2 linked regions of the Caenorhabditis elegans genome follow. The protein of the gene in region 2 purifies or fractionates together with the protein of the main gene of each other region. This does not show direct contact. Each region holds a gene or a part of one and is shown on either strand. Other genes may lie near its edges.

Region 1 (7,520 bases), on a different chromosome or scaffold from region 2:
AATCAGGTGGTATTAAGTGATGTTTATCTCTATCAATTGAGAGAAAATGAACACAAATTGCAGTGGTACAATGTTTTATAACTCAATTTTGTTTTTTAATAGGAAATTTGAAAAAAATACTAGACTATTTACGTAAAGCTGTAAAAACGCAACATTTTTCAGGAAATCAGTCATCGGAAATTGCGTAGATTTGAAAATGTCTATGTGACGCCAAAGGAAATTCGTAAATATTATTTTTTAAAAGATTGTGGGAACCTAGTGATAAACTGACGGAATTTAGTATTGCAAAATATGAAAAATAGGGCAGAAGACGGCGGGGGGCAGGCATCATAAAAGGAGCTCGTTCGCTTCAAAATAATAATCCGCAAAAATAAGCTATCTACCCTTCTTTTTTATATTATATAGTCATAAAAATTAAATGGAGCGCTAACAAAATGTTAGGATTTCAAAAATGAATCTGTTCTGCTCGTTTTGACCCGTCAAAATTTGAATTTCGGCGCGAAAAGCTGAACTGGAGATTGTGAAGAACGAGGAGACGCAGAATGAGGGAGAGTTGGGTCGGGGAACATCTGGACAGCAGATGGAAATGAAAATGCTTAGAAGCCTTTAGAAGGAATTGCGAGAATATTATATGGATTGAGTTGGGAGCAAGTTGAGGGAAACGAGGCAATTACTGGATTGGAATAAAAAATAAGGACGTATTGGCGAGGGAATTGAATAAAAAAAAATAATTTTGAAATATAATTCTAAAAATACTGACAATCTTAACAAAAATCAAGGAAAAAAGCGATTAGAACAAAGAAATTTGTTTCGAATTCGAAAGCAAAAAAGTTCTACCATAAACCACTTTCGCGTCGAGACCCATTAGAATAATTCCATGTGTACCTTTAAGTGATATTACGGTAAATATTGATTCTTTCGAATGAGAATAGAATTAACTTTCGAAAGAAAGCTTTCCATAATTTTAGGAACCCAATTTCTGTTTGAATTTCCGAATTCTGTTTGAAAAACTGTACACAAAAACATTTATATTTTTTATTCAGCTCTCAAGAACCCAATATAAAGAAAGGAGCGTATTTCAATTCGTTTCGCATTTTGTTTCGTCTTTTAACCGCTTTCGTGTCCCTCAAAATGACCTTTGACGGTCATCCTTCTCTTTTTTTTTCAAATACTCTTTGTCAAAAGAGTCAAAGCCACTTTTTAAGATGAGTAGAAGACGTGGAAGCTAGAGAAAAGAGGAAGGGCATGACAGAGAATAACAAATTTGATTTGAAATCGAGAAAAAATACTTTGAGAGTGAAGAGTTAGCAATATACCAGGCAATTTTCATTAGAAAAGGGAAATATGACTAGAAAAGTGAGGAATAGATTTTTCAGTTTATTGACAGGTTTTTTTTCGAAAGTTCAAAACTCACGGTGAACTGTGGATTTATTGTGTTGAAGCCGTCAATATTTTGCAGATCGCAGAAACTGAAGAAAAAAAAATTATAATTCGAATTTTTCGCATAACTCATTTTCAAGAAAATTAGGGCGATGAAGAAACATAAGAACGAAAAAAAATTCTTAGCAAGAAAAAATGCCTTTCTTTCACACAAGAATGGCTAAAACGGGCGGAGCGTCGTTTCATCTAAGCTCTCTCACTTTTCAACGATTTCTAATGGCGAGTGCTCCGTTTTTGGTTGGTTGGGTGGTCAACAGAGAGGAGCGGCGGCGGCAAAAAAGGAATTGTTCTAAATCTCTCTGCTATGAGAACTCTCTAATTTCTCTCTTTTTTATGCGTTCTTTGACCGAAAACGAGGGAAAAAATGCGCTGAAAAATATTTTCAACTTCACGCAGAGGTCAGAGTGTCTCTTATATTCTCATTCTCCCTCGCCTGAGCCACCCTGACAACAACTAAAAGTTACCGTATTTAAAAAAAAAGGAATTCATTTTCATAAATCTAAAAATTTCAATAATTTTCTACTGATGAAATTGACTGAATCTTAAAAAAACTGACTGTAAAAAAACAACAAAAAAGACGGCAACTAAATGAGAACTACAGGAATACAAAAAAACGGACGAAAATGCATAGAAAAAACAAAAAAAAACAAAAGAGTGCCAGAAACCAGAAAGTGGTTTAAAAACTGGTTTTACGACAATCCTACAGCTACAGAGAAATATGAAAAACAAGAAGGGAAACAATTTTTTCAGCAAAAATTTAGAATTTTCGATCCGACTGTGACATGGCTAATTTGATTAAATGTTCCGTAGATTCATTGCGGTTGGGGAGGGATGAAGCCTGAAAAGTTTAATTTTTTTTTTCTATGTTTCAGTTTAAAAAATTACCATTTCAACAGCTTTTTGTGAATATGAATCAATCAATCTTCGCGTTTTATCCATTCCATCCGAATTTACAACAATTTCCCGTGCTTTTTCAGCATCTCCATCATGCTTGAATTTTCGAAGAAGCATCGTATTGAGCTCAGGATATTGCTCGCAAGCGTATAGTACCGGAGCAGTGGCGAGACCTAAAATATAAAAAATTTGAAAATTATTTTTTCTTCTTTTGCAAAAACTTGAAACTATATTATTCGTTTTCTTCTCAAAAAAACTCGTGGCGAGACCCACTCAGAAAACCATTTAAAATGAAGTGCCAAATTTTTACGAAATATCGGTAATTCCATTCACCTAATTTCAAATCAGCGGCCACAGGTTTTCCCATTTCATCAGCAGTCGCTATAAAATCAAGAAGATCGTCAGCAAGTTGGAAAGCGATTCCCAAATTTCGACCGTACTCGAACGCAATTTCATGAAGCTTCAAATCTGATCCATCTGAAAAAGGCCGATATGTTGCAAAGAAAATTGATGCAAAAACCACCTGCAAGAATAGCAGCAGACCGGCAACTACTGGCGAACAAACTGGCAGTTTTTCGATGAGTTTTTTCTATATAAGCCTTCATTCTGTCTACTGGTGTAGCATCTGTTGGAGTTGTTGACATTTGCATAAATTCACCCTAAAATATTATTTATTAGAAGAAAATTTGAAAATTTATAGCTGTATAAATATTCAAATTTCATTATAAATAAATAAATAAATTGATTAAAACCTACTAAAACCAAATCTTCAATAATCGACGCCATAACTGAAATGATGTTGGGTTTTCCGATGGAGCAAAGAATCTGCGTGGCACGAGCAAGAATGAAATCTCCGACGAGCACTGACTGAAAATGTTTTTTAACATAAATTTAGAAGTTTTTATCCCTAAAAACTTCTTCTAAGTTTACAAGAGAAAAATTTATGCGCAAGAGGTTACTGTAGAGCGACCAAATTTTCGATTTTTCTGTTTGCCAGGTTTTCACAGTTTTTCTCCAAAAAATATAGTTTTAATCAACATTTCTAAAATCTAAAAATAATTTTTTTGCAGAGAAAGCTGCTTTAAAAGCTGAAAATTTTGGAAAATTCAGCAAAAAAAGAATAAATTTGTCGGATTACAGTATCCAATTTGTTTTGAAAATTCTTTATTTTTTATAGATCGTGATATGTTATATTCAAGATTAAAATTTTGTTTTAATTTCAAAAAATCTACCATTTTATTTCCCCAAACAGCATTGACACTAGCTGATCCACGCCTTGTATTCGCCTCATCAATGACGTCATCGTGCACTAGAGACGCTGTATGGATCATTTCGGCTGTAAATTTCTTTATTTCTCTTTTCCGACTATTCATAGTCTTACCAATCATTCCTATTTTGTACTGATTTTGACATACTGATAAATGAGCGGCGATCCCTGATCGTTCTGTTGACAACATTGCCAGGTACTCTTCTCTGCAAAAAAACTTTTTTTCGTTTTTGATCAGTAAACATTTTATTAGTGAACATCAATACGGGCTGCCAAACTCCATTAGACTAACTACTGTTAGAATTGTACTACGACATGTGAAAAGTTAAATTGAAAATTGTTTTGAAAAGTTCATGGTATGTAGTCATTTCAGCACCATAGGAATATTTTAAAATTAGTTTCATTTTCATCAATATGAAGTTATGCCAAAAATAGCAAAATCATTTTCTCCTGTGCACTATCTACGTAAATCAGACTGCTCTTCTTTTTCAGATATAAAAAGTTTTCCATGTAATAAACTTACGAAATTGAACGATTCGCTGCGGAATTACAAGCATTTCCCATAAGAAGCGATACAGTCGGCCGTAACATTTTTCCACCCTGAAATTTTCAATGTCTATGAGTTGGAAAAATATATTTTTAGAAACCTGTTGAAAATAATAATGTGTCATTCGTCCTAAATTCGATGTAACATTCAAGTCTGCTAGATTTTCAACGGCACCCGATTCATCCTGTGGTATTAGTTGTACCATTATATCGTTCTGAAATTTCAGTTTTTTGGTTAAACTTTTATTGAATTTAGTGAATTATAAACCTGCATTTGTCTAACATGTTCCTGCACGAAAGCTGTTGAAGCAACACTATTATCTGATGAGGATGTAGATGTTGATGTGGCTGCCATTGAACATTTTCTGCAATTTTTTTTTGAATTTCGGAAATTTAAAATTTCAAAAGTTGTTACCTGAACTGCCTTGCGACAATATTGATTTTCGGTAGAACACCCATAATTATCTTCTATTCTTGATTCTTTATACCAGTTTTTGTTTCTTTCAGTGCTCAAAAACTAGTTTCACCGGCGGCTCATGTGGGTTTAGGAGGTCTGAAAGTGAATGAAGATAAGTTTTTTGAAAAGTGAATGATGCAAATTGAGGCTTCTGAGAATGCCAAAAGAGTCATTGATAACAGATATAACTGTCCATTCAGGAGAGGAAACAGCTGATAATTGAAATTCGCATTAAAGATGTGATTGACGTGATTAAAAGTAAAAAGGAGTATAGTTATAACCGAGAATTTTGAATAAATTATATTATTATAGCCTAAACACTTTGAAAATGCCAATGAAAATTTTGGAGTAATTTTGAGAGGAACTTTATTTTAATAATATCTCTGATTTTTTTTCAATGTTAGATTGGTAAATAATTTTTTGGATTAGAAAAGAAAATATAGAAACCAGGAACTAGTTTTTATATTTTTTTTATTTGCCAAATTTTGAATTGAATTCAATTTTATATACACTGATTGATTCAAGCAACCAGTGTACTTCTCAAGATTTTACAGTTTTCGACCATTTTCACTAATTATTGCATCAATTGGCATTTATATCACCAATTTATCTCTTATTTATAGTATGTTATCTGAAAACCATACGTCCATTTTTAAATATTGTTAAATACTTTAAATATTAGAGAATCATTATTTTCAACTAGAGATTCACAGAAGTCTCTCCGAATACAGTTTATTCGGAAAAATAAAAATAAATTAGTTGTTGTATAAAGGTGATCAGAAAGATGGAAAATGAATGTAGCCTCCCACTTTTCCCCTTTTCACCGCCGAAGATCGCTTCTCTTTTTCTCTGTGCTCTCTCTTTCTTACGCACTTCGTCCCTATCTCAGTGTTCTTTGAATTCTCTTTTCTCTAGCAAAAAAGAATATATTTTTTATCAAATTTTGTTTCTTTCTCTCTTTGGTTCGAGTTTATCGAGAATAAAGAAGATCGATAGATAATTTTCAAAAGGAACAAATAAAAATATTTGTGAAAAATTTGGTCAATCACCTTTGACAAGTAGATGAATCGGATTGAATCCATTTAACCGCCAAAACAAAAAGGTTATTGAAGAAATAGAAAGAATAAATATATTCATTCGTTTCTGTTAACATTGTTGATTGTTTTTGAATTTAAGATTCAAAAAATTTTTGAAATAAAATTGAATCTAAAAACAAAAAAAAGACAGGGATAGAGACATGGGAAAACGAAGAATAAAACCGCGCATCACAGACAGGAATTGACTAAAACTTTCAGAGAGATGAATAGGAAAGAAATGGATTTTGATTGGCAAAAGAACAACAATCCGATGGAATAACATAGTAATGTATAGTTTTTTGTGGAAATCGGGGATTAAATAGTTGTGTGTGGGGGGACCTCGTAGAAACCAAGAAATAAAACCAAAACCAATGGAAAATTGACCGAATAAAACTGAAAATTAAAAAAAAAGAACACCAGAGAAATGCAAAACAAGGCCATGTTGCAATTGTGATATAAAGCTCTGTTATAAACAAAAATGAAAAATCAAAGAAATTAAAGTTCCGTTTTGTCAAGAATTGTGTATCTCGAAGAAGCAGGCTTCAACTTCTCGAATGTAGACGGTGGTGGCTCAGTGTCCGGTGCTTGATTTCCAGTCTGAAATGTCTTACGAAAATTGTAAATATGGTCTTTGGAAATAAGTACTGCAATTTTTTCAATAAAAATACGGTACCGAATCTCGAAAAGGCAAATTTTTGAAAAATACAAAAGGTGCGCGCCTTTAAAGAGTACTGTAATTTCAAGATTTATTTTTTCTTGAATTTTTTATTGACTTTTCGATCAGAAAAGGAAATTTATTTTAAAAAAAAATCAGATATAACAATAATTTTTTAATAATTTTTTTCAAATCGAGAAAAAAAAAGAAAAATCAATAAAAAACCGCAGCAACTAATTTTAAATTACAGTAATCTTTAAAGGCGCATACCTTTTCACATTTGACAAAAATTTGTCGTTTCGAGACCCGTTTACCGTATTTTTGACGGAAAAAGCACAACATTTCGCGTCTGGGAAAAATATTTAGAAAAAATCATCCCAACCATAATTTTTTTTAAATCTTCTAATAATTCGGAGTTTTTTTTTCAATTTTCAGTTAAAGCTTCATTTATTTTGTTTTTTTTTCATAGAAAATTCCCAATTTGAGGGATTTTCCGTCCTGAAAATCTCATGAAATTTGTAATTTTACATTTTTCAAGGATTTTTAGAGACTTTTTTAAAGGTGGTATAGAAAAAAGTCTGGTTCAGATAATAAAAAAAAATTCGTTTACTAACTTTTCAATAAATTTCATAAAAATTTCAAAAACCAAAAAACTCCCAAAAAGTGACACTTACCACTGGATCTGGACCATGGTGGAATTCGCGATGAAGCTTTCCGCTGTGCAGATCGAGCACGAATTCGCGGAGTTTTCCGGGGACGCTGAAATAATTTTGTTTGTTTATATAATCCATTTTCCAGATCTTACTTGACATCTTCGAAATTCTTGAATAAATACATATGTCGGAAAGAATCAATTGCAATGACTGGAAGATCGGATTCCGATTTACCCAAGTGACTGAGTGGATGCTTGAAGATTGTTCCATCACCGACCAAGCAGTTAATTGCTGAAATTATTCATTTTAAAATCTAAAAAAACTCGAATAAAATACCTTTTCTCTGATCAGGAAGTTCTCGAACAATTGCATCAGTGAAGATCTTCTCACTGACTTTATCATCAGATTTCTTGAAAAGAATCATAAATGGAAGTCCTTCTTCAGTCAATTCTTCTGCATTTTGGAATGTGATTTCACGAACTAATGGCACACATTTGTCAGCAACCCATTGTCTGAAAATTTAATTTTACAA
Region 2 (6,762 bases):
CCTTTGATAGCTCATCCAGTGCATTGAATTCCGAAAAATTTGAGAACCATTCAACAGCTCTCAGAAAAGCCTGCTCCCAAATCAGAAGCGATTCTTCTTGCCCGATTTTTCGAAGCATTTTTATTTTCTCATCGGGCTCTCTGGATCGGATTTCTTCTAGAGATAGAGCTAGTCTTTCAAGACTGTTATGAAATTGGTAGGGAATTTTAGTTGAGACATCCTGAAAAATAAATAGATTTTTCGTTGAAGCTTCAAGAAATTTGACTAACTCTTTTCAGAATATCCCTTGCCACATCTACCATATATGTGACATTTATCAATGTCTTGATATGCGATGCTCTTGTCGGCTCACAGCATAATAAAAGTGTTGGGCGGCCGAGAAATGTTGATAGGGATTGTGGAGGTGGTTCGATTAAGGAAACACGTTTTTGAAATTTATTGGAGCTGGAGATTAGGTCTCTGTTGCATTGAAATTCTGAAAATTAACCTTTTGTAAGTTGCAGATTTTGGATTTATTTTTCGTGTTGGAAAAAAATTAAACGTTTAGTTCGAACATAATTTAGAAGTTGTGAATCGAAAATTATAAACAACATTTAAAAAGTAAAAATTTGAATTTCGTTTCAAAATTCTGTAAGTTTCGGAATAATTAATTTTTAAAATCCTAGAAAAATTTCTAAAAAGTTGTTTTAATTTTATTTTAAATGTATTTAATTTTTAATTAAAAAATCAAATAAAGTGATGCCAAATTTTTTCACATTTTGTAAACTTGTGAGCTTCGTATTAAATTTTGCATTAATATTTTTTATAAATTTAAATATTTCCTGGTTTTTTTTTCGAAAACTCACTTGTTTCGTCCATTCCTACCTCCAAACATCGTTTCATACGGCACTTTTTGCATTTGAATCTAAAAAAAGTAATACAATTTTTGGAAATCGTTTTCATTTATTTGAACAAAATTTTAAAATTTTACTTTATAAGGTGTTCAAAAATTTATTTTTATTTTATTTTTACAAAGCGAAAATTGAGCTCTTACTTTCCATTTTCCAATAATTTGCAATTTCCATTTGGGCATCTTCCAAATATTCTGGAGCATGTCGCAGCTCTTCTGAAATTTTTTTAGCTTCAAAACAATATTTCCGAAAAATTAAATTGGGTACCTGAAAAACGCAGCACACGACCTGCAACTCATCACTCCAAAATGGCGTCCCGAAGTTTTTTGGCCACAAATTTCGCAGGGCCCCGACAAGAATAGAGGAGCAGGCATTTTTACTGATTAGAAAAAAACTGAAATTTCCAGTTTTCAAAAAAAGTGAAAAATACAAGAATGTCTATTTTTATAGATCGCAAAACTTGAAAAATTCACATGACAACGAAAAGGCCAGCAACGAGAAGACATGGAGAGACGCAGGGTGTAAAAGGAAAAAAATGTAAAGACGGAGCATGTGAGAGCAAGTTAGTTTTAGATAAAACATTGTTTCTGTGGGAAATTACAGAACTTATTCAAAAATAAATCAATAAGTTTGAAAAAAAACTTCATTCAAAAAAATGCTCAATAAATGTGGTGCGTCCTAACCAATATATGAGCGGGGCTTAATATTTTAATTTTTGTGCAAACGTTTTAGGAAAAGTCTATAAAATTAAGCCCCGCCCATTTCTTGGTTTTTATGCTAAAAGACAATGCAAAAAAGTCCAAATCATGGATCTCTAATATTTGCCTAGTTGATTCTAAGTTGATAATTCCAAGAATACAGTTATGTGTGTGGCATTTAAGTTGTGTCATACATCTCAGGGTGGGAAAAATCAACTTTTAAAATATCAAAAACATCTGCTATCCGTTTTTTATCAATCCGCAATCTCAAATCTGCCTCCAATAATCGATTGATTTTCATCAACTGCGACAACCGCGACGAGTAATTCGGCATTTTCAATTTCTCAACATAATACTTATGTAAATTATCCGCCTGAGCTTCCAACAACATTTCAGCAACTTCCATGACTTTGCCCTGTCCTTTACTCCCGGCATGGTATAGGGAAAGCTGTAGGAGCATGTAGCTGACTTCAATGCCACTAGGATCCAGATCTTTAATATATTGGAGTACTTCACAATAGTTTTTGATGTCTTCAGGAGTTAGAAAGAAGCTGTAATAGTTCACTTGTTAGTTTTAAGTTTTTTTTTTCAAATAGAAAAATCTTACTACGCAAGCTGCTCCAGCGAATAGTTTGTGCACCAAGATAGGTCAACTTCATAGTCGTTCATATCCATACAACACTCGTTTCCAACCATTAAAATCGAGTCTCCGAAAACACCATTTTTCTGATTAGCCGCTGTTTCAAAAATTTTATCCAGACGAGTCCAAGCGACCCATGAAGTTTTTACGATTTCGAGCTGAAAAATTTTTTTTTAATCAGAAAATTTCTAGATTTCAGAACGGCTTACCTTCACACTTTCATCTAATTCTCTGAACTCTGGAAAGTAGGAAAACCATTCGACAACTCTGAGGAAACCTTGCTCCCAAGTGTAAAGAGATTCGTCTCTGCCAAGTTTCTTTATGAATTTTATTCCTTCATTGGCTTTGAGGCTCCGCATTTTGTCGAGTGAGGAGGAGAGGATTTCCAGGCTATTGGAGCAGGAGGGCATGTTTGGGAATGTGGGTTTCTGGAATTAACTAGCTCTTCTGAAAGTGTGAACAATGAGCTTAACGATCTAGAAATTATCTTCAAATCTGTGCCTAGGTCATGTACTTTTTTTTATCTGAAACTCATTGTCCGTAATTTCACACCGAAATTCAGACAACAAGCGCAGGCATGAGGAAGGCACGGGGTAATCATGTAGACATGAAATAGGTTAACCTACTTTCTGTAGCATATTTCTAGCAATATCAATCAAATAGGTCACATCTATGGTCAACTTGACCGGTGACGCTTTATCGGGCTCACAGCACAACATAAACTCCGGCCGGCCGAGAAATGTGGCCAGTGATTGAGGACGTGTGATTATTGCAGGTTTTTTGCATGCGGAAGATATAGAATCTCGATTTGTTTGAAATTCTGAAATTTATAAGTAAAAATACACTAGATTTTGCAGACAACTCACTGCTAATATCCATGCCAACATCTATGCACTTTTTGAGCCGACACTGCTTGCAATTCAGACTGGAATTAGTTTTTGAATTAGTTTAGCGTTGGTTTAAAAACTAACTTTTTATTTTCAAAACTTGCACAATTTCCTCTGGGACAATGGGCCTTTTTTGGGCTCCAAAGTGCAGCTCTTCTGAATTTAAAACTTTTTTCAGAAAAATTGAAACAGTAACAAGAAAACCTGAAAAATGCCGCACATGCTCGACAACTCAGCACACCAAAATGTTTGCCAGAAGTGTTCTGACCGCAAATTTTGCAGGGTCCCGAAAGGAATAAAGATGCGGGCATCTGGAATATATATAGGGCAGTAATTGGCTAAAAATCCAATTCAGATATATAAAATGGTACATAAACGACCATAAATACATAACATTGAGAATTTGAGGTTATGTAAACTTTTTATGTCGCTTCAAACATCTCTGGGTGAGAAAAATCAATTTTCATAATATTAAACACGTCGGCAATTTGTTTCTTCTCAATTCGAATCCTTATATCTGCCTCCAACGTCCTTGTGATTCTCATCAACTGCGTCAGTCGTGACGAATAATTTGCCAACTTCAATTTCTCCACATAATATTTATGCAAGTTGTTTGCCTGAACTTGCACTAAATTTTCAGTAGCATCCAGTGCATCTCCATGTAATCGTTTTCCTGCGTGCTCCAGAGAAAGATGTAGGAGCATGTAACTGACTTCAATGCTGCTGGGATTCAAATCGATCATATCCTGTATCGACTGTTGGAAGTTTTTCTTACCATTCGGTGTTTGAAAAAAGCTGGAAACATCTATTAGGACTCAACGCAACAACAAGGCAACACTCACTATTTCAGCTGCTCCAACGAATAATTCGTGCACCAAGATAAATCAATCTCGAAGTTGTTCATATTCATACATGCACCATTACCGACCATCAACTGCGATTTACCGAGCATTTTGTTAATCTGCTTGTTAGCCGTTTCCGATAGCTTATCCAACCGTGTCCAGGAGAACCAACATGACTTTACAATTTCCAACTGAATACAATTTTCTTTTAATTAACTTTAGACAGTAAAAATAAAATTCTATTATAGAACTCACCTTCAAACGTTCATTCAATTCTCTGAATTCTGAAAAATTGGAAAACCATTCCACAACTCGAAGAAATCCCTGTTCCCAAGATTTCAAAGTTTCTACTTTTCCATATTTTTCGATAAATTTTACTTCCTTGTTCGATTCGACACATCGCATGTTGTCGAGCGTTGTGGCCAGTTGTTCAAGACTGTTTGAGGGCAAAACATGGTTTGTTGGCTGAAACGCTACCTTGAATTCTTTTCAAAAAAATTATATGCAGAGCGGGAGTTGGGTACAGTAGGCCTTTCACGAGGGCGCTCGCCCCACGCCATAGCCTTTCCCATGCGCATAACTATTATAATACCGCGCCGGACTCTGCAGCGTCAGCTGCAGTACACAAGGTGTACTGCGCGGTGTACACTTTTCATGCCTCGCCGAAAGTCTGACCATGGATACGGGGGGCTTGAAATCGTGACCTCAAGATTGCTAGCTGCGACCACTACCGTCTGAACCATTCCAGCTCCTCTGCACCACCTGCTATTTTCTGATTTTTGCATACCTTCTGCAACATGTCCCTTGCGATATTCACTAAACGAGTAACGTCTATTGTTGTCTTCAACACTGATGCTCTGTCTGGCTCGCAGCACAAAATGAACTCGGGTCGACCGAGAAATGTGGCCAAAGACTGAGAAATAGCAGAACACGAAATAAGGTCTCGATCTGTCTGGAATCCTGAAATCAAACGTATAGTGATTTTTAAACATTGAACTTTTGACTCACTTCTAGTATCCATGCCTACATCTAAACACTTTTTTAGTCGGCATTGTTTGCAGTTGAATCTGCAAATTATTAATTTTTAAAATTTGCTGTAAAACTTGAAAAAAAATTTCCTTACTTTCCATTAACGCTAGTATGACAGGTTCCGTTTGGGCATATCCTCTTTTCTAGGTTCCATGTTGCTGCTCTTCTGTAAATTTTGTTCTTAAATAATTATTTTACAAAAGCTGCAAACCTGAAAAATGCGGCACAAGCCCGACAACTCATTACTCCAAAGTGTCTTCCGGAAGTTTTGTCCCCGCAAACTTCACAGGATCCCGAGAGGAATAACGGTGCGGGCATCTGAATAATATTTCGAAAGAAAATAATTTTTTTTGCGCTGAAATTCAAATAATTACATTAAATATTCAAAGTGTTATATTATACATATGAGTACACTTTCGTTGATAAAGTAAAAAATTAACAAAAAAACGGTTAGCTTTCAATTTTTATGCAGAGGATCTTAAGTCGTTTCAAACATTTCTGGATGGGAAAACTGAATTTTGAAAATATTAAAAACATCTGCAACTTTCTTCTTTTCAATTCGAAGTCTCATGTCTGCCTCCAAAGTCCTAGTTATCTTCATCAATTGTGTCAATCTTGACGAGTAATTTGACAACTTCAATTTCTTCGCGTAATAATCATGCAATTGATTTGCCTGGGCTTGAACTAAACTTTCAGTAGCCTCCAGTATATCTCCCTGCAATCTTTTTCCCGCGTGCTCCAGAGAAAGCTGCAGGAGCATGTAGCTGATTTCAGTGCTACTTGGGTTGAGATCAACCATATCTTGTATCAACTGACGGTAGTTCTTCTCGTCGTCCGGGGTGAGGAAAAAACTGAAAATCCGATTTTAAGATTTGTGAGTGATACGCATAGCCCGACATTTAACGGGTTAGTGTTTTGGAACCCGGTAGATGTCGCTCAGAACTCACAAGGCCAATTGCTCCAACGAATAATTCGTACACCATGATAAATCAACTTCATAATCATTCATATGCATGCAAGAATCATTTCCAACCATCAAAAGCGAGTTGTCGAGAGTTGCGTTCACCCGTTTGTTAGCAGTTTCCGATAGCTTATCCAACCGGATCCATGAGACCCAGCAAGTTTTTAAAATTTCCATCTGAAAAAAAATACAAAAAAGTTAGTAACCTTATATGCTAAAAGTTAAGAACCTTTAAGTTCTCATCCAGTTCCCGAAATTCTGAAAAATTGGAGAACCACTCCACCGCTCGGAGAAACCCTTGTTCCCAGGTTTTGAGAGATTCGTTCTTTCCAAGCTTCTTGATAATTTGTGTTTCTTTGTTCAACTTCATTCCTCGCATATTTTCAAGTGTAGTAGAAAGTTGTTCAAGGCTGTTAGACAAAGGGCATTGACATGGATCCTGAATATATAGAAAAATGCCCGGGCGACGTGTGACACAGGTGCCCCACCCCCATTTTTTTCAGAAACGACCGCTAGACCGCTAGATGTCGGACGCTACACACTCACCTTTAATTTCACATGTTTTCTCGTTTTTGCCTACCTTTTCGAGCAGATTCTTTGCCATATCTACTAAATACGTAACATCTATTGTAGTTTTGAAAACTGAAGCTTTGTCTGGCTCGCAGCACAAAATGAACTCGGGGCGTCCTAGAAAATTGCAAAGGGACTGAGGAACTGAGCAGGAAGATATCAAGTCCCGATTTGTTTGGAATTCTGAAATTTTTTGGTGTATTTTTTTACTGTTTGGGAACTTGCTAGCTTACTTTTAGAGTCCA

Evidence for each region.
Region 1: the proteins of nhr-126 (region 2) and coq-1 fractionate together in Caenorhabditis elegans (co-fractionation; one large-scale study listed by BioGRID). This does not show direct contact.

The regions. Positions count from the first base shown.
Region 1 is NC_003279.8:5,410,930-5,418,449, forward strand, and holds coq-1 (All trans-polyprenyl-diphosphate synthase PDSS1), read right to left. Parts: upstream 4,701-7,520; 5' UTR 4,607-4,700; coding exon 4,563-4,606; intron 4,513-4,562; coding exon 4,416-4,512; intron 4,363-4,415; coding exon 4,249-4,362; intron 4,202-4,248; coding exon 4,125-4,201; intron 3,808-4,124; coding exon 3,716-3,807; intron 3,671-3,715; coding exon 3,567-3,670; intron 3,202-3,566; coding exon 3,091-3,201; intron 2,994-3,090; coding exon 2,858-2,993; intron 2,812-2,857; coding exon 2,668-2,811; intron 2,508-2,667; coding exon 2,326-2,507; intron 2,279-2,325; coding exon 2,198-2,278; 3' UTR 1,912-2,197; downstream 1-1,911. Other genes in the region: erp-44.1 (Thioredoxin domain-containing protein), read right to left, coding at 6,176-6,277, 7,010-7,094, 7,141-7,279, 7,325-7,500.
Region 2 is NC_003283.11:2,225,745-2,232,506, reverse strand, and holds nhr-126 (Nuclear Hormone Receptor family), read right to left. Parts: upstream 3,427-6,762; coding exon 3,320-3,426; intron 3,272-3,319; coding exon 3,200-3,271; intron 3,154-3,199; coding exon 3,095-3,153; intron 3,049-3,094; coding exon 2,855-3,048; intron 2,657-2,854; coding exon 2,438-2,656; intron 2,387-2,437; coding exon 2,196-2,386; intron 2,140-2,195; coding exon 1,767-2,139; 3' UTR 1,523-1,766; downstream 1-1,522. Other genes in the region: Nuclear hormone receptor family member nhr-134, read right to left, coding at 2-220, 270-475, 846-904, 1,034-1,105, 1,158-1,264; Nuclear hormone receptor family member nhr-18, read right to left, coding at 3,538-3,910, 3,958-4,148, 4,213-4,422, 4,745-4,917, 4,966-5,024, 5,081-5,152, 5,198-5,304; Nuclear hormone receptor family member nhr-103, read right to left, coding at 5,465-5,837, 5,934-6,124, 6,177-6,386, 6,528-6,700, 6,751-6,762.